2 linked regions of the Oreochromis niloticus genome follow. The protein of the gene in region 2 interacts with the protein of the main gene of each other region in a pairwise test. Links are inferred from orthologs where the notes say so. Each region holds a gene or a part of one and is shown on either strand. Other genes may lie near its edges. The genes, in order: nr0b2a and rxraa.

Region 1 (12,209 bases), on a different chromosome or scaffold from region 2:
TACCAGCTTGTGTGTGTCTGTCAGCCACAGTTTTCAGGACCCCAACACCTGACTACAGACAGACAGAAAATAATAAAAAGCATTTTTCATTATCAGCTTGAATTCAAAGTCTAAAACAGGAACTAACAGAAATCCAAATAAACATATTAAAGAAAGAAAAGCAGTAATATAATAATAAAACTAATGCAGGGACCCAACATACAATCAGCACAAAAATCCAGACCATAGCCAAAGAATCATCAGTCTTTTTTATATTTTCACTGGGAAATCCCCCCTGACATCCACACAACCAGTAATGCTCAAAATATATAATCAGATTGCTTAAAATCACATCTTGGGTCTTAACGGTTGAATTTTTTGTTTAAAGTCTGTATATAAATGTGCTGTGTAATTTGTGGAAAACAAAATGATGCAAGATCTTTATGATCGCAAATCATAAATATAAAATTATAGAAAATAGAGCCCAACTGATACTGATACCGATATTTGGCGTAAGGACAAAATTCATTTTTCTTTAATGTATTTTTAAAATCTGATATTCCAGTGTATTGGCTTTTTTTTCTCTCAGACACACACAACATATACAGATTTCCCTTTTCCAAATTTGTTATATGATATTTTATATTTTGTTGTTTACCGTCCGTCGATTCTGCACAGGTCAGCTGGTTGCTGTGTTTGTGGATCCCAAACAGGTAAATTATGAACACAGAATTACATTCAGATGCCTTCAAATGCTGCTAAAATTAACACTCTTTACATGGTTGATCGGTCTTTCTCCAGTTTTTCCTTTAGTTTTAAAATGTTCTTTTATCTGCTATTATACATGCCGATACCGATAGCTCAGTAAATAGTCAACTGGATTAATAAAACTGCTTAAGCGTTGTCCTAATGTTTTCATACAGTATATATTATAAAAGGTCACATCAAAGTGGCATCGATGTACTTTGATAGACAACAGGTTTAATCATGTCTCACTTGGCTGCACAGGTATATTTCTTTTCACACTGACTATAAGTCGCCAATTCTGCCTCTTTAACAATGGTCACAGTAAAACCTTCTTCATTTCATTAGAAATACACCAAGATGTGTTCAAAACTGTTTAACTTAACTTGACTAGTAAAAGGATAAAAGAGAAAGCGGCAGCTGGGAAATATATCTAGTCAGAGTTCATTAACCCAAAGGTAACCCTTGCTTTGTCCTTCACCTCAGCTTTTATTGTTGTATTTTTATAGTAATGGGCAGTAAAACTAGACTCGGGTGTCTGGACTCTGACATTATGTCACACATCATATTACACACACACCATGCATTAGTCATCACCCTCCTGATTAGTGGAAGTTCAAACAAATTCTTGAGAATGTGCATGTGTGAACGTGTGTGATGTAAAAAAATAAAAATTAAACCGCAGTAGATGTGGTTAATATGTGATTAGATCATAAAACAGCCACCTAACTCAAGAAATGAACCTGTGTTGTGTGTACACATAGCAGGCAGCTAAGCAAAGAACCAATTTTAAGTGGCAACAAACACATCATTAGTTCCCACTTGTTTAGTCAAAACTATGAAAAATACCAAAGATAACACAATTTGAAAGACATAAAATAGTATTTGTGCACCAACAAGGTCGTTCAAAACTTGGCAAATCTCAGCATGGTGTGCAGTGTGTCATTAAAATTTCAGCCAGTGGTGTTGGGGATCTTTTCGCAATTGGTGAAATTATGAACGTGTATAGTCAGATTTTGAACCACCATTCAATAACACGTGAAAAGCATCTGATTAGCAGAAGCTTCATTTTTCAGCATGACAATGATCTCAATCACACTGTCAATGCAATAAAAGCTTTGGCACATATACATATATATCCTGCTGCAGCCTTTTAAATATTAATGAAACAAAATGTTTCAGTATATGTATTAAGGCATACACAGGAAAAGAAATCACTTTCTAAATGCATGAACAGATTCTAACATGAAGCAGGTATAAATCAAAGAATTTGCTGGATGTCTATTATATACAGTCCCGATCAAAAGTTTAAGACCACTTGAAAAATGGCAAAAAACCATATTTTGCATGGTTGGATCTTAACAAGGTTCCAAGTAGAGCTTCAACATGCAACAAGAAGAAATGGGAGTGAGACAAAACATTTTTTGAGCATGCAATTTATTGAAAACAAGGCTTAAACTGAAACAGGCTGTTTCATAGCTGATCAAAAGTTTGGGACCACATGCCTTTAAAAGGCCAAATCTGTGCAAAAATGTGGATTTATTGACATTTTCTGTCAGGTAGTCACACTGTCATGATGTTCTGATGGCAAAGGCAAAAAAACTTTCTCTTTTTGAACGTGGTCGGGTTGTTGAGCTGCATAAGCAGGGTCTCTCGCAGCACGCCATCACTGCTGAGGTGGGATGCAGTAAGACAGTCATTTGGAATTTCTTAAATGATCCTGAGGGTTATGGAACAAAAAAGTCAAGTGGAAGACCCATAATTTCATCGAGCACTGAGCCGGAGGATCCAATTGGCTGTCAGGACATTGGACGATCCTAAACCCAAATTAAGGTGGCTACTGGTGCCGACTGCAGCCCCATAACCATCAGACGGAATCTGAGACTGAAGGGCTTCAAAGACAAAAAACGTCTTCAAAGGCCTCGTCTCCTTGAACACCACAGAACTGACCGTTCAGACAAGAGAGCACCAAACACGGGACATGGAAAGGTGGAAGAAAGTTTTATTCTCTGATGAGAATAAATTTAACCTTGGTGGTCCCGATGGTTTCCAACGTTACTGGCGTGACAAGCAGATCCCACCTGAGATTCTTTCTACACGTCATGTGGAGGGGGCACCATAATGGTCTGGGATCCTTTTTCTTCAGTATAACGATGGAGCTTCAGGAGGTGCAGGGGTGTCAAACGGCCGCTGGCTATGTCCAGATGTTGCAGAGAGCATCCCTCATGACTGAGGGCCTTCGTCTGTGTGGTAACGACTGAGCGTTTCAACAGGACAACACTACAGTACACAATGCCCACGGGACAAGGGACGTCTTCCAGGAGAATAACATCACTCTTTTGGACCATCCTGCGTGTTCCCCTGATCTAATTCCAAATGAGAACCTTTGGGGATGGATGACAAGGGAAGTTTACAAAAATGGACAACAGTTCCAGACAGTAGATGCCCTTCATGTGGCCGTCTCCACTACTTGGAGAAATGTTCCCACTCACCTAATGAAAACGCTTGCATCAAGCACGCTGCAACAAATTTCTGAAGTGATCAACAATAACAGTGGAGCTACTCATTACTGAGTCCATGTTTGGAACTTTGATTTCTGTTATGGGTTTTGTGGAAGTGTGGTCCTAAACATTTGATCAGCTGTAAAACAGCCTGTTTCAGTTTAAGCATTGTTTTCAATAAATTGCATGCTCAAAAAAATATTTTGTCTCACTGCTATTTCTTCTTGTTGCATGGTGAAGCTCGACTTGGAACCTTGTTAAGTTTACAACCATGTAAAATGTGATTTTTTTGCTCACTGGGGCACATTCTTGAACAGTCACTGCCGAAAAACTCGGCATCATTTGAAAAGAGGATGTTTATTTTAAAGTTTATTCTTAAAATTAAAGAGCTCAAAAAGGGGAATGATAGACCATTTACTACTTCATTTAATAATTCTTTCATTTAAATGTCTTTTTTTTGGTTGTTCTTTTATTTCACTGCAATTGAGGTTCTATGTGTATATAAATGCAATTTCAATCTGAGTTTTAATTTAGTGATTCTGTTTTTTTTCTTCTCCTGAGTACATGTTCCCATGAGGCCACCCTGTGTGAATCATCTTTGGGTTGATGACCTTATTAAAATGGAACCAGGCAAATGAACCTCCGCTGTATTAGCAGTGGGTCAAGGCCAAAAGTCATGTTCAACACATGACGTCCATCATGCACCCACGTGGTAGCACGGAGCGTTCAGTGGCCTGAAAAAACTGGAAGCAGTGGAAGTTCAGGCACTCAGTCTGTGAAGATGAGTCTGAGCTACTTGTTGACACATATCCCACAAATCCAATAATGCAATTACAGTAAAGTCACCTAATAAATTCTTTTAAGGTGCATGAATTTTGAAGATATTAGGAAAACAGTCTCCAGCTCCTGTCTATTACATCATACTTCATCACCATCTTGCTTCCCTTTACTCCGAACACAGTGGTTGTTCTACTTATAGTATGAAGGACGTTTTCGTTTTACTGTCCTGGCAGAGATAAGCGTCTGTCCTCCGTGCCCGTCTGTGCCTGCTCCAAACCTCTATAAACACGGGCCTTATCACAAGCATTTACAACTGTCAGCATGCTTGATGAAGCCTGAGGGCTGCTGAGTGAAGTATAGGTCACTTTCCTGAAGGGAAGATAACCCATGCGTCTTATCATGTTTTGAAGCTGCGGTCCACTTCGATTAGGCTTCTGTGAGTACAGACATCGTGTCCCATATGATTGATATGATACTGTCCATCATAATGAGATCACCCTGTGAAAAAAAAAACAGGGCTGTTAAACATTTTTCATGTATTCTTTCAAGGAATGAGTAAAGGCATTGATAACGTAAAACAAATATTCGGTGACTGGTGCTGCCAGTTGTGTCTGGTGTGTAATCTCTTTATTACGGTCATTCACTTTATGAACTGACCTTGACACAGGTACCCTGCAGTTCAGATCTTCCTCTTAAACTTCCAGTTTCAAGCTTCTGGGCTTGTCAGGCTTTTTGGCAAATGTGTCACTAAATAACAATAAATAACGAGGATGGTACATCATATATGGTGGCACCCGGGATCACTGACTATCATAAATGTTTTACTGTCTATAGTTCATGGCACTGGATGTTCAAACCAGAGGTCTTCCACATTGGGTTGTTTGTTTATTTCTTATGATAATAAAATCATTTTCTTATCAGCCCCAAACCTCGGTGCCAGGTACGGGGAAGATAACAAAATAGGATAAATGCATTTAAATGACAAGTGGAAAAGTGTACGACATGTTACGGACGTCATGAACTCCACGTACAGGATTTTGTTGTGCTCCTTTCAAGTTTCATAAACTTGAAAAGAAAATTCATAAAAGTTAGTTTGATATATAAAGAGATATAAGAATGTCACAGACTGAAGTAAGATCAACCTCATGAGTACAATAATTTGCCATGGCCAGTACAAATGTTTACTAGATATTTTTTTCGCAGTACAGTAGTACAGCACGTATCAGGGCAATCGCCGTAAAGTCTGCACACACAGCCAGGGCTGGAAATTCCCTTCACAGTACACAGGAGTTCGACCCAGACTGATCTGGATTTCTTTTATATTGACTTGAGAACATTTTTTAAATATTTGTGTGTGTATTTGTGAAGATATAAGACACACAATTTCCAATTTTATCCCATCTCACAATGATAAAGAACACTTCTAAAAATTCCTGGTTCCAGATTTGCCCTAAAAATGAATAACTTCCAAGGTCAATTTTAAGTAAATCCCTACATACATCTGAAAAAACGAAACACTTAAGCTTCAGATAATAAACCAAAACCCCCAAATTCGTAAAACTCACAAAAGCAAAACCAATAATAAATAATAAATAACAGTTTTATGCAGGTGGTTTTGTGTTTAATTGTAAAAAATATTTTTTGAGGGGTGGTGGGAGAAAAAAAATGTGTGTAGCAGTTGTGTCAATAGAGCAGTTTCTCACACATTAGTTTTTTGTTTTTTTATTGAGTGGACGGGTCAGAGCTGGAGGGCTGCAGGTACGGTGCAGTCTACTTCTTGGGTGCAGACTGAAATATCTCAGCGGTCATTTTGTACAGATGCTGTGGATTCTCCAGCTAATAGATAAACGGCCACACACCCAGTCCAGTCGCCTCAGAATCATCATAATCACCTGACCCTGCTTTAATAGTAAGTCCCCGTGTTACACAAAGCTTGACCTGTGATCCACTAACCAGTTATCTCTGCCTGTTCCCAAACTGCAGATTAATCTTTACAGGAGGGAGGGATTCTCGAGACTGCCAGCGATCTGGACTTTTAGTGGTGTCGGTGTTTTCATTGGAACATCCGTTACAAATACAAAACATGAAATACAATAAATACCACTGGGCAGCTGCGGATTCACCAGTCTGGGTGTCAAAGTACTCCTGGGTGGTATGCTGAATCCTGAGTCCCCCCTGATGTATCCATCAGAGTGTGAGCGTGTGTTTTAGGCACAGATAAAAGTGCTGTGTGGATGTGTGAGACTGTAGAAAGCAGTTTGAATTTGATTTCAACTGATCTATGCAAGTAACAGTCCATTTACCAGTGTGTGATAGTGCTGAAACGCTATTTCTGTACCATAAATAGAACCATATTCAAGGCTGTCCTGTGGTACACAAGAAGGTTTTCTAGCTCTTCTTCACAGGTTTGTGCAGAATTTGTGTTTTAACTGCATGCTTGTAGTCTTTACATTGCAATGTGGCAGTGAAAATAAATGTCTGCTTTCTCAAATATGTGTCCAACCTTTCAACCCTTGTGAGCTGGAGGAGGCTGAATTACAGTTCTCTTATATAAAGCTTCCTCTGGTTAAAATCACAATATAAATAGTAATAACTCAGCTTGTTTAAAAGTCAAGATTCCTTGCCAAATAATTCAGTTTTATTTATATAGTGCCAGATCGCAGCAACAGTTGCCTCAAGGCGCTTTATATTGTCAGGTAAAGACAATAACATCAAGGTGGCTGTTTACAACCAGTTTCCACTAAATTAGAGTTTTAAAATTCCAGCTCTGTTCTGGGATTTTACTCTTTTATTTGGGAAAAAAAAAAACATGAAACACTTTATTTGAAGTTATCTCGCAGGTCAGTGACCCAAGTCTACTTTGGCCTGTTTCCAGTATTACAGGTGTGAGCTGGCAGCAAGCAGGGGCTCACTGTGGGGCTGATTACTTTTTGCAGTCCTTGGTAGCTTGGTACTGCCTGGGTTAATGACACCGGTTACAAGATAAGACCCAGCCCTCTTGATAGCCAGACGTTACTTCAGCAGCTCCTTTTCATTGAGAAAAGCTTATCAGTTTCCCAGGGTTGTTCCAGTCACCTGGCAGAGCACACAGTTGTTTTTCATATGGAGCATATTGACAAGTCAAGGTCCACTGAAGCAGGTTGGGCTGGCCTTATAAATAGAGGGAGACTCCAAGCAGCAGCAGCAGCTGTGCTCACAAGCTCGTGAAGAGCCCATCCTGCCAGAGGATTCATTTAACTGCCTACACAATCTGTGACTCGGTTAAAATGGACAGCGCGTGTCGTTGTTCAACCAGCAGTGATAGGACTTCAAATCCTATCCTGTACAACATCCTGAGCCAAATGGATGGCAGCAGACTGAGCCAAGGCAACTTCAGCTACAATTCAGTGCCTCACAGATGCAAATGTGAGGCACGACGGACAGTGTGCTTGAAAAGGCCGTCGGAGATTTGCAAAGAAGCTTCGGCGGTTCTGGTAAAAACCCTAAATTTCATGAAAAACTTGCCCGCCTTTAACCAGCTGCCTCCAAACGACCAGTTCGCCCTTCTGAAAAGCTGCTGGGCGCCACTCTTCATTCTGGGTCTGGCCCAAGAGCGTGTGGACTTCGAGGTGACGGACATCCCCACTGACAGCATGCTGAAAAAGATCCTCCTGAACAGACCCGAGAGCCCCGAGGTGGAAAGGGAGCAGCCCACTATGGCCGGTGTCAGCAAACTCGTGTCTTGCCTCAAAAAGTTTTGGAGTTTGGATTTGAGCCCCAAGGAGTACGCATACCTCAAAGGGACCACGATATTTAATCCAGGTACATATTCGATGTGTTCAGCTTCAGCTTTCTCTGGTCAGTGTTCGGTGGTTTAATAACGGTGTCCAATATTAAGCATTCATGTAACTTTACAGTTTTGTTTTGTTTTTCCACCAACAGACGTACCAGATTTGAAGGCAGCCCTGTTTGTGGAAGGCTTGCAACAGGAAGCTCAGCAGGCCTTAAGCAAGGTGGTTCAGCTCCTCCACCCGGGGGACGGGGACCGCTTTGCTCGAATCCTCCTCACAGCCTCCATGCTGCAGAGCATCACCCCCAGCCTCATCACTGAACTCTTCTTCCGGCCTGTGATAGGACAGGCGAACCTGCTGGAGCTGCTGGTCGACATGCTCTTCTGCAGATAGGAGCGGTGGATTTTAGAGCTTTTCCGTCTTTGTGAAATGAAGGAATGCCTGATGGTGGGCTGCTCTAAAACACATTTACTATTAAAAAAAAAACTCAAAGAAAACAAAAACTGTGAATTGTTGAAGATGGGGTTATGAATTGCTTACACTGAAAATGATGCCGAGGTCACTGTAGCCCAGTCTGACACGATTTCGTCCAATTGAACTGGATTTGACTTTCTACATTAGGACAGAGTGTACCTACTGTCCATATGTTTGCTTGATCTCATGACGGGAGCTCTCTGTTGTAAATAATTATTGTTTGCATTTACAAAGGTTTTCAAATAAATCTATTTTTTTTACACGAATGAAGAGTGAAATTGTGTGTCAGTCACCTGAAAAGGGAAGCCAAATCAAACATTGAGTTTGTTATATATGTACCAGCTGGAACATCTGATAGTGACAGTCTGGTTTGAACATTTGACCCCTGCACTTCATTGGCAGGCCCATCAGTGATATGTGCAGGACAGCATGTACACATTAAATTCTTGTTGTTGCCAGAGCTCTTAAAAAGCAAATACCTTGAAAATGGGAGTAAAAGGATGATTTTGGTGGTCTTTAAACAAACATTGGAATGAAGTAGAAAACTTTTTTTTATGGTAGTATTTCTTCTTTGATCCAGGAAGTAGCGAGCCTAGCATTTCAACCAGATGCCTCCTCAAGAAAAATGCTTGTCAAGTCATTTTTACCTAAACAACCTCTGCATTAAAATGTCAGGAAATGTTTTACATGTTACATTTAACATGATTGCTTTTTGATTTAAAATAATTTAACAGCTAGAAGACTTTATTGAAAATAGGTTTAGATAACTGTATTACAGAAAAACAAATAGTATCTGAACACATTAAAATGATAGGAATACAAAAGAACTTTGCACTGCTTTAACAAATAAAGACCTTAATGAAGCCAAAAAACAGAAGAAGAAAAAAAGCGTTTACAGAGAATATCTCAGTTCTCTGTGTGAAAATGTCCCGTTGATAGCAAAGGTCAGAGGAGAATGACCAGACTGGTTCGATCTGATAGGAAGGCAACAGCAAGTCAAATAATCAGTTATTACAGCCAAGCTGTGCAGAAGAGCTTTTCTGATAGCAAAATATGCCAAACCTTGAAGCTGATGGGCTACAAGCAGCAGAAGCAGAAGACCACACTGAGTGCCACTTCTGTCCGCTAAGAACAGGAAAATAAAGCTACACCAAAGCTGGACAATAGAAGATTAGAAAAATGTTGTCTGGTTTGATGGGTCTTATTTTTTGCTCCAATAATCAGATAGTAGGGTCAGAATTTGGCATAAACAACATGCAAACAAAATTCGGCTTTGAGCTGAGGCTGGTGGTGGAGTGATGGTGTGGGGGATACTCTCCTGGCACACATTAGTACCCGCTGAGCATTGTTTAAAAACCACAGCTTAACCGAGTATTGTCGCTGACCGCATCCATCCCTTTTTGACCACAGTGTACCCATCTTCTGTCGGCTGCTTCCAGCAGGTTAACGCACCATGTGACAAAGCTCACGTCATCTCAAACAGTTTTCTTTAACATGAAAATGAGTTCACAGCAGTCAAATCCCCTCCACAGCCACCAGATCTCAATCATATAGTGCAAATTTGAGATGTGGTGGAATGGGAGGTTTCCATCATGAATGTGCAGCTGACAAATCTGCAGCAACTATGTGATGTTATCATGTCAGTGTGGACCAAAATCACTGAGGTTAGATTCCTGCATCAATCTTTGGAGAGCATGAAAATGATTCTACTGGTGGGAGGAAATTAAAAAGGGAGCTTTTAGGGGATATAACACTATTACAAAAGCAGAGTTATTTATTTATTAATTATAGAATAGGTGGTGGAAATGACAGCTTAGAAAAACATAAACACATTCTTTTTAATCGGTTGTTGGATTTATCAGGGGCCATAATTATATCCATGTTATTATTAGTTATGTATCTTGACCTGAGGATGGAGACACTATGTTTAAATGTAGCAGCACAGTTTTATAGGCAGTCTACGTAATGTGCTTTCTTTTTTCTCTAATGGTTCTCTGTCCCCCTCTCATGGAAAACAGTGGAAGTCACACATTTTCCCAACAGAGAGAACCATAAAAATTAAGCCTAAACTTTATTGCATTTGCAAATCCTTATCGGTGCAAAAGCCTCACTCGGAGTGATTTTAAATGTTCAGCACCTGAAAGCAGCCAAGGAAAAACTTAAAAGGCTAAATCAGCTGTGACGGGAAACTCTTGACTGGTTCTTGGAAATCTGCAGGCTGCATCACTTATGGAACAAGCTCACGATTGGTCTTGTCCTGTGGTATGTTAGTTGTGAAACTGTGAGCCTTTAAATGACACCTACATACAGGTAAAACAGGAATGTGCTGGTGGGGGAGTGAGCCAGGGGAAATGGGGTTACACAGGCCAAATGCAACACACACAGAAACAACTTCCCTAAAAGAAAAAAAAAGCTGTGTGTGTGGAGCTGAAGAACAGATAGTTAAGAAGTGTCATTGTCTTCATGCAAGCATTTACTGGGTTTTGAATAAAAACAAAATTGTTTCAGTAACTTTTTTTTGTGCGTTTTCTTGGTGCAATTTTGGCTACCGGTTTAACCCCCCCACCCCTCGTTTTAAAGCAGTAAGTCACAGCTGGACTGTACGGGCTCCGAAAATAAACAAAAAATAATTATTATTGACAAATGCAGCTTCATTTGTTTAACCCAGATTTGAACCGCTTCAAGAAAATTAGGCTGACTTTCTGTGCTGCTCCTTTGCCTTTGCCATAAATGACAAAGACAAAGCCGTGGATTTTATTTCCTTTCTGTAAGAACCAGCCAAACGAGTTCCTTCTTTTGCTGAGGGCGGAAAAAGCCTGCCTGCTGTAACACAGTGACCTCGGGGAGATGAGCCTGACAACAATAATCCCAGAGATAAAGAGGAAAAAAAATAGGCTGAAGAGAGAGTGCCAGAGAAGCTCGTGAAGGTAAAGACTTGTTGATATACACGAGCAAAATCATTTGCTGTCAAACAAATTGAGCTTTTTTATATACAGAGAGAGAAAAAGATTTCCAGGCACAGATTTAGACTTTTGAATAAACAGAAGCATAAAGAGGTATGGAAGGATTTTTTTTTTTATTATTTTCTTAAAAATATGACTTGGTAGCTAACAATATAAAAAAAAATGTGGACAAACACCACATATGGTTTAAAAAAACCACAAAGTAACATCGACATAAGGGTATTTACAAAATATGGCTAATACAGATTTCAGGTAAAAAACACGCGTCTTAGGGTTCTGGGGAACTGGCAGGAGGTCGACAAGCTCATACACACAGACGGCACATGCACAACAGCTAGCAAAAAAAATTAAGATAAAAACAAGAACGAGGACGGCTCTGTTCAAACGTCTGCCTCTTTCCTATGGCATCCTGTTGAGTGGAGTCACTTTTTCCATCTTTAAACACTGCACAGAAAAATACATAAAAACCTACATCTCCTAACGTGTGTGTGTGCGTGTGTGTGTGTGAAGGGGAAATAGGGGGGAAAGTCTCCTCAGTGGGCCTTTTGCTTGAAACATAAAGATGCTTGAAAACAGCAGGTAGTAGCTGGACCACTTAAAGGCAGAAGTACAACCACCCAGCGTAAAAGGTGCTCAACTTGGTAACAGCAGGAGGATGAAACAGCCCGTGTAACTGGCTACATCTCTTTTTGTTTTTATTTGACTTTTAGAGAATCAGAGGAGCACCTGAGGAGTAGGTTTCAGTGTCGTGGTGGTACGCCGAGTAGGCCGTAGTAGTGCTGGAGGAATATGCTGCAAAGGACAAAAAAGAAAAAAAGGAAGGATTATTTAATGCAGTGAGGTTAAAAAGCATAGCTCTAATTTCATTTATCCTTAAGCGAAAAAACCTGGAGAAACCCAGGACCCGGACACGTTCCCCGAACACCGTGTTAAAGTTGTGAAAACACGGTGTAGCGTACCCTCATTCACAGACATGTAAGAGGACACCCGTCCTTTTA
Region 2 (13,037 bases):
TATGTCCAGTTGCCTTTTAGCTATTAAATCTCTTGAATCATCATCAACAGAATTGACTGTCCGTAGGCAAAAATCATAATGTTCTCTGTTTCTGTGTGTTTGTGCTCACAAAAGGATGCATACACCACTGCCAGTTTTAGTTTAATACCCCTATAGCTTGTGTCCTATCCCATATTCTCTAAAGACTTTGTTCAGGCTTTCAGTGCAGAAAAAAATGCAAAAACCAACAAAAAAAATATCCAAATGGACTTGATGTAGATCCTTTGCACAGACGACGTACTTTCTATACTAACCGTGATTGGCTATGGCTGAGTTGGGGAATGATGGCATAGGTGAGAGACTGGCCAGGAAAAAAACGATCATTTCACAGACCGACTTTGCAATAAACGAAGCAGTCATGAGTCACTTGCACCTACACTGCAGCACTTTAGTAAACTGCATCTTCAAAGAAAAAACTGGATGAAAGCGTGGCATGTCAACAATAACACGGGCCCTGTTTTTAATGCATCCCTCCACCCAACACCTTCTGTTGATTTGAGGCACCAAGCAGTATTTTTTTTCCCTTTTTCTTTCTTTTTTTAAATTCTTCGGAACAACGTTTTAGGACATCATCTAGGTGAGTCACTTTTGAAAAGCACAGAGCGGCACAGAGCGCAGCCGGAATGAAACACTAGTCATTAGCATTTCTCCGGATGTGTTCAGGAAGAAGAGAGAAGAGGGAAAAAGAGATTCAACTAAATAACCCAGGAGATTCAGTGGGCTGTGGGAAAAAAAACAAAAAACAAAGCCCAAAATAACATGGGAGTTGGTATTACGGCTTCATTTTTAGAGTTTTTACTGCTGATGTCTCTATCGCCATGACGACAGCGGGCTGATATTTTTCTCAATCTTCCATAAACCACTTTGTGTATGTGCTTCAAAAACTAGATCATTATTCATTGTTCTTTTTTTTCATTAAGCTTCACACTTTCTGTGTGTGCGCATGTGTGCTCATTAATTGGGAAATGTCTGTCTACTGTTTTCCACTACATAAACAGACTAATCTGGTGCCTTCAGTTATGTCCAAAGTGTAAATATCTGAGTCTGATATGTTTACTCTGTAGATAGGAGAGAGGAAGTGGGGCTGTGTGTGTGTGTGTGTGTGTGTGTGTGTGTGTGTTTATTGTGTGTAAAAGATGGTGTAGGGAGCGAGCTTGTGATTGGCTGATGAAATATCAACAGGTTATGCATAGAATCGGCGCACACTTCTAAAAAAAGGTTTTGTTTTACAAACTTATTATGTTTATAAAACGTCTGAAATTTGGACAGAAAAAATTCCCAGTTGCATTTTCCACTAGTAAACAACCTGTTCTGGCTCTGGAGCAGTAAAAATCTGAAAACTTCTATTTGCAATGATGCAAAAAATATGGATAAGCGAGGAATTCTCTTATCTAATAAAAAATGCAAGTAAGCAAGTAATTTAAGCTATAAATAAAAGCACTAGCTGTTCATACAGCACTGTGGCGTGGTGGTTAACACTGTTGCCTCACAACAAGAAGGTCCTCGGTTTAAAACGGCATACTCCAGCTTCCTCCGACAGTCCAAAGATGTGGAGTTAGATTAATTAGTGATTCTAAACTGCCCAACAATGTGAATGTGAATGGTTGTCTGTCTCTCCGTAGCCCCACAACAGGCTGGTGACTTGGTGTGCCCGCCTCTCACCGTAGGGCAGTTAGGATAAGCTCCACCAATCATTAGTTATTATTAATCTCCAACTCTCTTTCACAGTGTGTCTTTTGTTCTGTCTTCCTCCCTTCACCTCCAACCAGTTGCAGAACATTGCTACCCCTCCCTGAGCCTGGTTCTGCCGGAGGTTTCTTCCTGTTAAAAGGAAGTTTTTCCTTCCCACTGTCACCAAGTGCTTGCTCAAAGGGGACCTTTCGATTGTTCCTGTTTTCTCTCTATTATTCTAATGTCTTCACCTTACAATATAAAGCTCCTTCAGGCAAATGTTGTTATTATTTGGCACCATATATATAAAACTGCACTGGTGAAACTGCCTAACAAATAGTTAGTCATTATATTGTAGCTAAGTGAAGCAGATTTTTTAAAAATATTACTTATTTTCAAATACCAACTATTTTACCCTGAAATAAACCCTCTTTCTTCTGTTGATGTGAACTTCTACAGGTACTTGACCTTGTGTTTTCCAGTTGCACACTGAGGATTTTGATAACTCAGTGAGTGGGATTGATGCAATAAATTAGTCAATAAATAATCACAGAATTTATATATTCTGTACTTCTTGTAAATCTTAGTGGAAAGCTTTTAAAGCATTTATAACTTAAAATAGTTTGGATGGTATTTCTCACACACGCCTGCTTGTTACTTCTTTAACGCTGTCTTACTTTTAGAAACGAGTGGTTGCACACAAAAGAATGTTATCAGCATCTCTGCTGACTATGAATTTAGAAAGGTGCATTATAGGCTCATTAAATGGGTTTTTGTTCTTAGTCCTTTGTTTCCTGTGGTCTTTGTGCTCATTATGGTCCTTGCACAATTAACACTATGCTACAAGATAAAACAAAATACCATGTTTACACGTTTTTGTCATCTCAGTTTTTATTAGTTAAGTCCTCAATCCTCAATACAGTATGTGAGGATTGAGGACAGTGCAAGGAGCCACATGGTGATCAGGGAACTTTAACAAGACAAGATATGATCAGACAGGCCAGCTGCAACTATACCTCGATCTTTATGACAGTGCTAATCAAAAGTATCCAGACTCTCTTTATACTGTCTGTTTAAGCCCGCATCTGCTGGGATTCATGAACCAACTTGTAGATTAAACAAGAGAGTGTAGGAGCAACAGATAAAGGCCTTAATGTGGGATAAGTGGCAGAAAAGAACCAAAACAGGCCACCCATAATTTCACAGTAGGTGGGCTGCTAACAGCCATCATTTGATACACTGTGTTGATATAACCCGCTTCTTTTTGCCTGCTGAAACAACTGCCCTCATTAAAGACTTAATTCTCTCCCTCCCACCTCCCTTTTACTCCTTTCTGTCTCTCACAGGCTTTATTTTCCTCCCATTTCAGTTCATTTCCCTGATAGCATGTAGATAAAAGAGCCAGCTCCTAGGGCATGCTGGTGCCCTCAGTGACTCTTAAGTGTCTGCAGAGGCCATGAAGCTGTGGCTGGATGTGGCTAGGTGCCAGCTAAGCCACAGATTACTGGCACTATTGCTAACAGTGCCCCGGCTGCCAACACTATGATCTGCTGTTATGGCCTAATTGTTGTCTTTAGCTCTGAGGTGATATACCATCTCTCCCTGGGAGCTCCACGCAGCGCACCAACCAGCTCGTGCACAGAGGTGCAGTTGACTGAGGTTGGGCCAAATTCTTATGTACAGATCATTTCACACACTACTGTAACTTTCTGGTCTAACCTTTAAACAAGGCATTTCTGAAGAGTGTGAAGCAAAGCCAAATGCAACTGGTTGAACAACCTGAGAAATTACAAAAGGAAATGTGAGCATCAAATTTAGTTTAACATATTTTTCACTGGGTAAAGACACACTTTAGAAACCTTGCTCCATGCTTAGAGCCTCATGTGAATGCCACTCACCCTGGTGACTGAGCGCACTTGGAAAGTTGGAAAGTGTTTTCTTTAACCTACTAATCACCAGGCTTATCCTTCCCATATTGCTTTATTTAAGTATGGAATTACTTGGTGGCTGTTTGTCAACTGCACTGTAAATTCAGTCATGCTCAGTGATTTGCTTTACTTGAAGAAAGGCAAACACACTGGAAGTACTACCTATAGCAGGTAGCTTTATTTACACACCAAATTCATTTACACACATTTCTCACTGTGAGGAGAAAACTAGTACACCAAGAGAAGGAGTAAAAAGGCCAAGGGCACAAAGAATGAAGGCAACACAGCTACTGTGAAGGAAATGTACTCAACAAATGAATGACAGCCAGCATAGTGACTATATCTCACTTGCTGTGCTTTGGTCAGCGGCTTATGTCATAGACGGCAACTGACAATAGTGGTTGATCAAAGACATGGCATTGAGCGATAATTACTTCTGCAGCCTGCAGAGCAGCTGTCGGGTGAAGAAGATTACACTGCAACTGATGTTCTTCGGCTCTGTTTGAGTATTCATTACCACAGCAGCTTAGTAAGTCAAAAGAGGTCAGTAATATTCAAGACAGTAAAGACTGACAGGCTTTTTGAATGACCCTAATCAGATAATGTGGAGGTTTTGGAGGCGATTCTTGAAGTTCGCAGACAAAAGATGATGAGAAAACATTACCTTTACCACCTGCTTTATTATATTATAAATCTCTATGATTAAGATTTGCAAAGCAAAAAAAAAAAAAAAAGTATTTAAACCTTTTAAGGACATTTAAGGTTTCATGCCCAAGACTGCTATGAATACATGTAACTGGGGAAATACAACACAGCCAGGAAGCTTCTGATTCATTGAACTTCCTCTTTTGTTGAGCCCAGAGATGAATATCACAACACAGGCCCTTATCGGACTTGCTCACTGCCAAAACACACTTGAAGGCGCACGACCGAGTATATACTTACAAACACAAACACAGAGAGATAATGAGCTGACAGCAAAGCACATGACTGAATGCAATTTAGCAAGACCAGGTACAAAGAATCAGATCAATTTTTTTTACTTTCATATCTAGCTGGGCATAATGATTCATCATTCATTATTTCAAACAAGGGTCACGTTTCTGCAAGGTTACGCTTATGAAATAAAATGAAAATGGTTTGTGGAACGACAAAGAAAGAAAAACACTAAAACAAACCTTGAAAATTTTGCATGAAGTACATACATATATATATATATATATATTTAGACTCAGAAAAATATTAGAGAACAAAGTGGTTTATTTTTGCGCATAGACTATAAGAGGGGCCTAAAAGCACCAGTGTCAACATTAAAAATAATAAATGGTTGCTCAATGATGCCGTGCAACTACACAAACTAAAGTTATCTGAGGTCTGTGTGGCCAGTATTTCTTTTTAAGAACACTGCGAGCCACACTACAAATAATAAAGTCATATAATTAAACCAACTAAACAGCTGAATGGATTTCTGTATTTCACCTTCAGGCTAGTCAAAAACGAATCCAGAAACTTTAACTGATCTTTTTCTGCAATTTCTGCAATAAAAGTCAGAAAAAAGTCATCACAACTAAGTAAATAATAAAGAGCAGTCTTTAAAATGTCAATACAAACACCATTAGCAGGGAAAATAAATGTAAATGCACAAGATTAAAAAAAATACAGCATTATATGTGGAGGAGTGGAAGTGAAATTGTTCCACAAGGTGTGTCTTGTATTGACGTTGGAGTCATAAAGCCATCAGTGACTGATGACTAATTATACCAATTACCACGATGGCAAAAACAAACTGTCCCTACCCTTTGGTGACATCAGGATGAGGAATTTGTCACTTCCTAACGTGTTTGGAGACAGTGGGCGATTGACGACTTCCATTTGTGTCAAGGAACCACTGAAACACTTCAAAAGCTGAACACTGTGTGTCTAGGCTCTGTTTATGTGGCTGTTTACTCTCTGCAACACCTGGAATTAGCCCAAGGCAGATGTTGACCCATACAGAGCCTTATGTCCACCCTCCCTGCATTCATTTGCCGAGTCAGTATTCAGCCTATAAAAATGGTAATTGTCCTCTTACACAAATCTAAATACAAAAATACAAAAGTATATGGTTCACATTTAGTTCTGAGACACAGAATCAACACCAAAGCTTTATTTCCCGCCCCAGCGGAAAGATTAAATATACTGACTGTATTACAAGCCTTTTAGATGTCTTCCACCCACCTTTTTTCTTCTTCTCATTTTTGCCCTTATAATTATTATTCTTTTGTTGTAAGCTGTGAGGTGCTGGTCTGTTTGTAATGAAATCCAAATGGAGAAGGAGCTGGCTGCTGGCCGTAAGCTGGAACTGCCCTACTCCCACCCCCCACTCCTTCTCCTTCTTCCTCTGGGAAACAAGCCAGAGATGAAGGGAACGGGAATGATGGGTAGAGATGGACTGATCGATGGATGAACACATAGAATGAGCGCTAGAGATTCATAAATAGATAGCAGAGATTCAAATGGGGGAGGAAAACAAAGTGCGAGAAAGTCTCTCAGAGAAAGCTTAAAACACTGGGGGCCGCTCGGAGGGTGATGGGAAACTATGTGTGTACGTGCTGCAGGAAGAGGCCTCGCAAACTGGGTGGGAACACACGCGCTCCAATAAGACCAGAGGTTGTATGTCCTGAAGAACACGCATGTGTGTTCTGTCAGTTCTGTCACTGGAGGAGTGTACTTTGGATCAGTGCATTGACTCACCGAAAACAAACACAAAATTCTGCAGGCCAGAGGATCGGAGGCACGCTGTATCCAAGACAAACAAGCAAAATCATGAAAATATAGTTGCATTGACTGAGGCCCAACCTTACCACCCCCACGCCTCCATCCGCCCCCTTCTCTTGCTCTATTGCACACAGACAGTCTGTCCAGTACACACAAAATCAATTACCTTTTGGCCCATTATTAACAAAATAAGTCAGATGGACAACTCAAACAGCTTGTGTCAACAGCGTAACGTTTCTCCCCTGAATGCTTTATTTCAAACCAACAATTAATTCAGCTGCCAAGTCCCAAAAGAGCTGCTTAGTGACACTGCTGGTTCTAAAACTCATATTTTCTTTAAGCAAGTGAAAATCTAAACACTGCCCTGTGTAGCAAATTTGCTCCAGAAGAATACAAGCGACAACTTTGGAAATTTCATGAAAGAGACAATTGTTCTTAAATCAAGGTGAAAGCCAAGCTGCTGTCATGGCCATATGCTATGTTTTTGTCAGCCTATTAGCAAGATTTTGCAAAGACTAATATGCTGAATTTCAATGTCATGTTGGAGAGGTGGACTACGTGCAAAGAAAGAATGCATTAAACCCATTACCCACAAAATGATTTCTCTTCAGGTATCATTAAGATCTGTGTTTTTGCAGTGTAGACCTTTGCAATCTGCATCTCCAACAAGTATTTTCTGCTAGAAAGGAAGGATCACATTTGATTTAAAATGTCTGAGCCTGGAGAGATGATTTTCAGGAAGACGCTAGATCAAACAGGGACATGGCTCATGGCTGAATTACCAGCATGGGCCATTTTTCATGGGGTCAGGAGAGGTTGCAGAAAAAAAAAAGAGAAAAAAAAGAAGAAAGCACAAACATGGTCAACTGAAGCATCTTGAGTATTTGCAGGTCCGTAAGTGGAGCTGGCATATATGTGGATCAGAGTCTATAGATGCATGTGTCTTACCCCTCCCCAGTGCACATGCTTTCACATTTAATTTTTCCCCATACTTCCTCTCCTCTGTTACTGTTTCCTTCAATTTCTTTCCACATCTTTTATTCTGCCTTTGCTGCTCATCACAGGGACTCCCCAGAGGTGGAGGATAATCCCAGTTCGGAGCAGCAAGTCTTTTATGTCCTGGGAAGACACACTGGTTAGAGTGCTGCCAGTTCTTTTTCCTCTCTACTGATACCTCGATCAGCTTCCAAGCCTTGCTGTCTCCCGCTCTCTCTCTCTATTTCTTAATGTTTGTGCTTTTGAACATGTTCTTTCATTATAAAACCCATTTCTTTTGCCAGGGATGCGGTTACCACTACTAGCCTGTGTTTACACAGAATCAGCAAAACAAAAACACAATGGAGTCGGTTGCCTCTTGAGGTGTTGGAGAGGAATCTGCCACTGACTGATTCTATGCACTTATGTATGCTCTGCATGTTTTCTAAAGCGCCCAGTCAAGGTCATTTTACAAGAATGTAATAGAAATGACTCTAAAAGCTGTGTTCATGCAACTAGGACTATTATTTACTGTTATCAACTTCAGCAACTCAAGGCGGGTAGCTGCCCTTGGTCACTGAAGATTTATTTGTCATCCACAACTGCCCCCAAAATATATTCTTGCATATTTTCAATTGGTATACCATACTCTAGCCGAATTCTTTTCAAATCAAAATCACAAGATAAAAAAATCACCATTGAATATTTATTTTAGTCCAGGTTACAATGGACTCTAAAAAGTTCATGTTAAACAAAAAAGTCCCCAATAGAGCAACAAAACCACTAATCACACAAAGGTTGTTATTTCTCTGCCTTCCTATACATCATTCTTGGAAAGTCCAGAAGATTGTGGCTTTCAAGGAACAATGTAAAAAAAATATGCAGCCCAACACCCCAAACAATGTGTAATGTTGATGGAAAAGCCAAAGACCAGCCAAATTTAAGGGGAGTTAAGGTAAAGCAAAACCTCCAATAATGCTTGTATACAATTGCAAGTGCTTCTTTATTTCCAAGAGATTCACAGCCCTGCTTAATATTTCAGTTTTAAGTTTCAAGTTTATTCATTTATATAGCACTTTTAAAAACAACAGTTGTTGACCAAAGTACTGTACAATAACACAGTCAAAGCAGAAGACATACCAAATAAAACAGAATATAGATTAAGAAAAAAATAGAATCATGGGAAGAACAATAGACTAATGTTATGTTTAACGTATAAACATAACATTAGTGAACCATGACCTCCATCAAGCAACCAGTTTAAATTAAGTCTTGTCAGATTGAGTAGGTTACAATAGGGTCAGATATTTAACCAACAGTTTAAGCAAAAAAAGTATTGTTTTTTTAATGCAAATGTTTTTTTTCTCCATTTTGGTAAAGAAATACAATTTATATGTTTTCTTTAATACTTGTATTATTAAGGTGAGGTTTTAGTACAGTATTATAAACCGAAGGCTGAAGAGCCAGATTAAACTTACCACATAAATTCACAGGTTGCTGTCATTTTACTTTAATGAAAAGAAAAAAAAAGTTACTGTGTAAAAGCAGACATCTGATACATAATCTTGACCTTAAGAAAAAATTAAAACGACAGACAATAAACCCTTATAACAAGCTATTTGGTGAAGCACAAAGACTTTTTCAAAGCTTTCAGGAATTTGTTTGCATTTGGCCAGTGCAAAGAAATCTGAATGGCATCGACTGACAACACTGCAGCAGTTCTTAAGTGACAGTTGCTATATGTTTTTTAACCAGGCTTGAAAAAGGAAAATCTTTGTAATAAAATAAAACATATACATGTTGGAAAAGCTAAAACATGTGATCCCTTCGACTAGTCTCAGGTGTACACAGAAACATGGGAAAAGTTTTCAGGCTTTCAGGCAGAAAATGAGTAATTCTTCCACTCTTACCACCGAACAATGATCCCTCAGTCCTATCAAAAGGTTCCTTTACTGCATGATACTTTTTTCCGATGATGCAATGATGCAACACAGATTTTCTGTGACATTTGTGCTGGGAAAGTAATTTTCGAGAAGGTCCTTTCCCCATCGCTAAAATCCATATTTCTTCTTGCCTGTGCCTCTCATGGCCTGGATGCCCGTGAATTACGTGTTGAGATTGGCTTTGTGACAGAGGCCAAATAAAGTGGGTGTTATGACTGGCATGTAGAAGCACTCTTGAGAGAAACAGGTGTCGTTCATTGGCTTACACCAATGTGCCCATAACTGCAGAGCCATGTGATTGGTGGAAGGAAGACACCACTGCTCAGAGAGGAAGCCGCTGATGCCAGGCGTGTTTGTGGGCACGGGGCAGCGGAGGTGAAGGGAGAGAGGGAGGATGAGGAGGGAAGAGGGCGCCGCAAAGAACAGACCACCTGGATTACAGGCCTCAAAGGCCAGCCTGACAGAGTCAATCTGAACAACAGTGAACAGAAGACAGCCAGTCTGCTGACTTCCCCTCTCTTGCATTTTCACTGGCAGTCTGCCAACAAACACATGCTGCCCAGCAAAACTTTCAAAAGAGGCTTCAGCTCGGGTTTTTCCACCAACTTAAAGGCCTTTTTTTTTTCTTTGCCCACTGAAAAGCAAAAGTAAACTGATAGAGCATACTAGGGTTAAGAGGATAAATACATTAGCTGTTGGCAAATACACTGGGATGGACCAACATTGGCTGACTGGAAACTTTTAACATACCACTCAACCCTATCACTTACAATTTTTTCTTATTTTTATTAAACAAAATTTAAATACTCACTTATACACCAAGTCTGTAGTACTGTGAAAAGTATTTGTCACTTCCTAATTTTTTTCCTTCTTTTTTAATCCATGCAAACAGTGGGGTACACCTTGGAGTCATTAGTCAGTCGCAGGACCAACCTTTCTGTAAATGAGAAAGCAATTGCCCCCCTAAACCTAATAACTGGATGTGCCTGCCTTGGCAGCAAGAACTGCAATCAAGCATTTGGGATAACAGACAATTAGTCTTTCACATTGCTGTGGAGGAATTTCATCCCACTCTTTGTAGAATTGTTTTAATTCAACCATATTGGAGGGTTTTCTAGCACCACTCTCAAACCTTCATTTGGTTTTGGGTTGGGTTTTTTTTAGTGATTCAGAGGTATACTTGCTGGTGTGTTGCAGCAAATCATTCAGGTACATGTTTGACTGTTGGTACGATGCGCTTTTAATTTTAAATGCTGTGTTAGCTTTACACCAGACGTAACAGGAATAAAATCTTTGAGTTTTGTCTCGTCGTCAATAGAATATTTTTCCATCTTGATGGGAACCACCAATGTTTTTTTTTTTTTTTAGCAAATATGAGATTCATATTTGCATTTTTTTTTTACCTCTTTTTGATTTCAAGAATTATCAGAATCCAGCAGTGTTTTGTTTTTGTCATTTTTGCCAAATCTCTAATTGTTAAATCATGAATTCTGACTTTAACTTAGGCAAGTGAAGCCTTCACTTTTTTAGATGTTGTTCTGGGTTCTTTCGTGACCATTGAGACATTCTTTGGTAGGCTGGCCACTCATAGGAAGGTTCACCACTGTTCCAAGTTTTCTCCATTTGTAGATAACGGCTCTCGCTGTAGTTCGCTGGAGTCCCAGAAATGGTGTTATAAACCTATCCAGACTGATAAATGTCAATGACTTTGTTTCTTACCCGTTTTTGGATTTCTTTAGCTCGTGGCATGATGGGTTGCTTTTTGCGATCTTTTAGCCTACTTCACTTTATCGGACAGGTTCTATGTACGTGATTTCAACACGTCTGTGACTAGTGAAATTGAACTCAGCTTTCCAAGAAACAAATGTGGTTAGCTTTGATTTAACAATAGCGGCAATTGCTTTTCAAGGTAGGGCTTGGGCCCTAAGTAAGTTTGGAGCTTTATTCCTTTAATAAAGGAAATCATCCTTTAAAATCTCATTTTGTATTTACTCAGGTCATCATTGTTTAATACTAAAATTTGTTTGATTATCTAAAACATGTTAGTGTGACAAGTATGCAAAAAATAAAATGGCACTGTGTATGAGGTCTTAGTGTATTCATACTGTTTAGTGTCCATGTGGGCTTTCACACATTAATCAGCCTGTAATTTCTACAGACTTCGCCCTTTACACTACAGACCGAGGCTGGCCTGAACTGACCCAGACAGATAGTCCAGTCTAGGCGAAGGCTTCAGATGTGGTGCAAGAGGAGTCATTTCTTCACTTCAGTCTATTTTCTTTTCTTCATATTTCTGCCTTTGCTTTGACAAAAATTATTTTTCCTGCCCTCTTGGCACTGCATCCTCCACTGTGAGGTCACTCTGCCATATCTAACAAGGATCCTTAGGGCAACGAGGGTGTGAATTACTCTTTTCTTTATCCTTGTTGCATTCAGAAGTACAACACAGAGGAGGAGGCAAAGAAAAGAAAACACACAACCTTCAACAGAAGACAAGGGCTCAACCAAGTCAGCAAACTAATGGGAGGAGGCCACTGCAGATAACTTACACAAACAGGCACACTCCTCATTACCACACACATGCTGAAGTGTTTTGCTTGGACTCAAATCCTTGCGATAGGAAATGTTCAGATGCCTGGCTGCCATCTTCTCTCAGCTGAGAAAATGCTGTCCTCTTGCCATTGGAGTGTCAGAGGAGGATAGTGAGGAGGACAAGACTCTCGCGGTTGTATATTGCCTCTGTAGATAAGTCGCACATTTTTCATAAACACACACAGATGCAAACACTCACCAATTAGACGAGCAAGTAGCAGGCCTCAGTTCCACCCCCGCTGATCTACCCACCAATTTTTTTAAGTCATAAATATGTTACCAGACATGCAAACACACTGCAATGATTTGCCATGCATGACAGCACGGGTATGAATACATAAACATAAAAGATACCATGAAGCCATCAACAGATTATTAATTTCAAAAGCCCCATGTACACCCACCCACCCACACACATCAGCTTTTAGAGTTAAATTATAAAAGATGATTTGCCTCGCATATATGCTTCAGCAAGTATCTAAAACACATAGACGAGGAGGATATTAAAAAAGAGTGAAAACAGTAATTAATCACTCAATTTATTCAATATGCACATGGCATATTATGTATTTATGTAACTACAAAAAATACATCAGAAAATGTTAAAAATTTAAACCATTAAGTGGCTCTTTTGCTTGGCAAGTGACCTGTAAAGTCAAGAATTCACAAATCGACTTATCTTAAGGCTTGTTAAGCCTCAGCTTTGTTAAACAGAAAAATATAAACAAGGGAGGATGACACCTCATAGAAAAAGTGCAGTTCATTCCCCTTTTCTGACAATCACTTGATTAAACTCGAAATGCAACATGTGTTTGCCTATTTTGAAAACAGCAAACTGCAGCTCCGCTATATGGCTATGTTACAGAGCGGCATGAAGCAGGATATCTGACAGACAGACAGAGGAACCAATCTGAGTGCTGTGCAGCTCGGCCCGACGCTGATTGATAGCTGGCTGTGGATCCTGAGGGGCATTGAGAGTTTAATCACCCATAACTGCAATTACAGACGAACACGTCAGACTCATAAAGCACTGAAACAAGATGAGCGCCTCCTTCCTCTCCTCCCCTTGGCGCACATCAGCCAAATTCCACTAAAGCTCAAGGAGGAACAAGGGAGCTGAAGGCATAACCTC

What was found.
Region 1: the proteins of rxraa (region 2) and nr0b2a interact in a two-hybrid assay, tested with the Homo sapiens proteins (2 studies listed by BioGRID and IntAct). The link is inferred for Oreochromis niloticus from reciprocal best matches to the Homo sapiens genes RXRA and NR0B2.

The regions. Positions count from the first base shown.
Region 1 is NC_031976.2:7,490,251-7,502,459, forward strand, and holds nr0b2a (nuclear receptor subfamily 0 group B member 2), read left to right. Parts: upstream 1-7,186; 5' UTR 7,187-7,270; coding exon 7,271-7,805; intron 7,806-7,925; coding exon 7,926-8,167; 3' UTR 8,168-8,512; downstream 8,513-12,209. Other genes in the region: kdf1a (keratinocyte differentiation factor 1), read right to left, coding at 11,918-12,003. UniProt on the Homo sapiens protein: Transcriptional regulator that acts as a negative regulator of receptor-dependent signaling pathways. Specifically inhibits transactivation of the nuclear receptor with which it interacts.
Region 2 is NC_031972.2:29,162,642-29,175,678, reverse strand, and holds the start of rxraa (retinoic acid receptor RXR-alpha-A), read right to left. Parts: upstream 6,392-13,037; 5' UTR 6,091-6,391; coding exon 5,856-6,090; intron 1-5,855. UniProt on the Homo sapiens protein: Receptor for retinoic acid that acts as a transcription factor.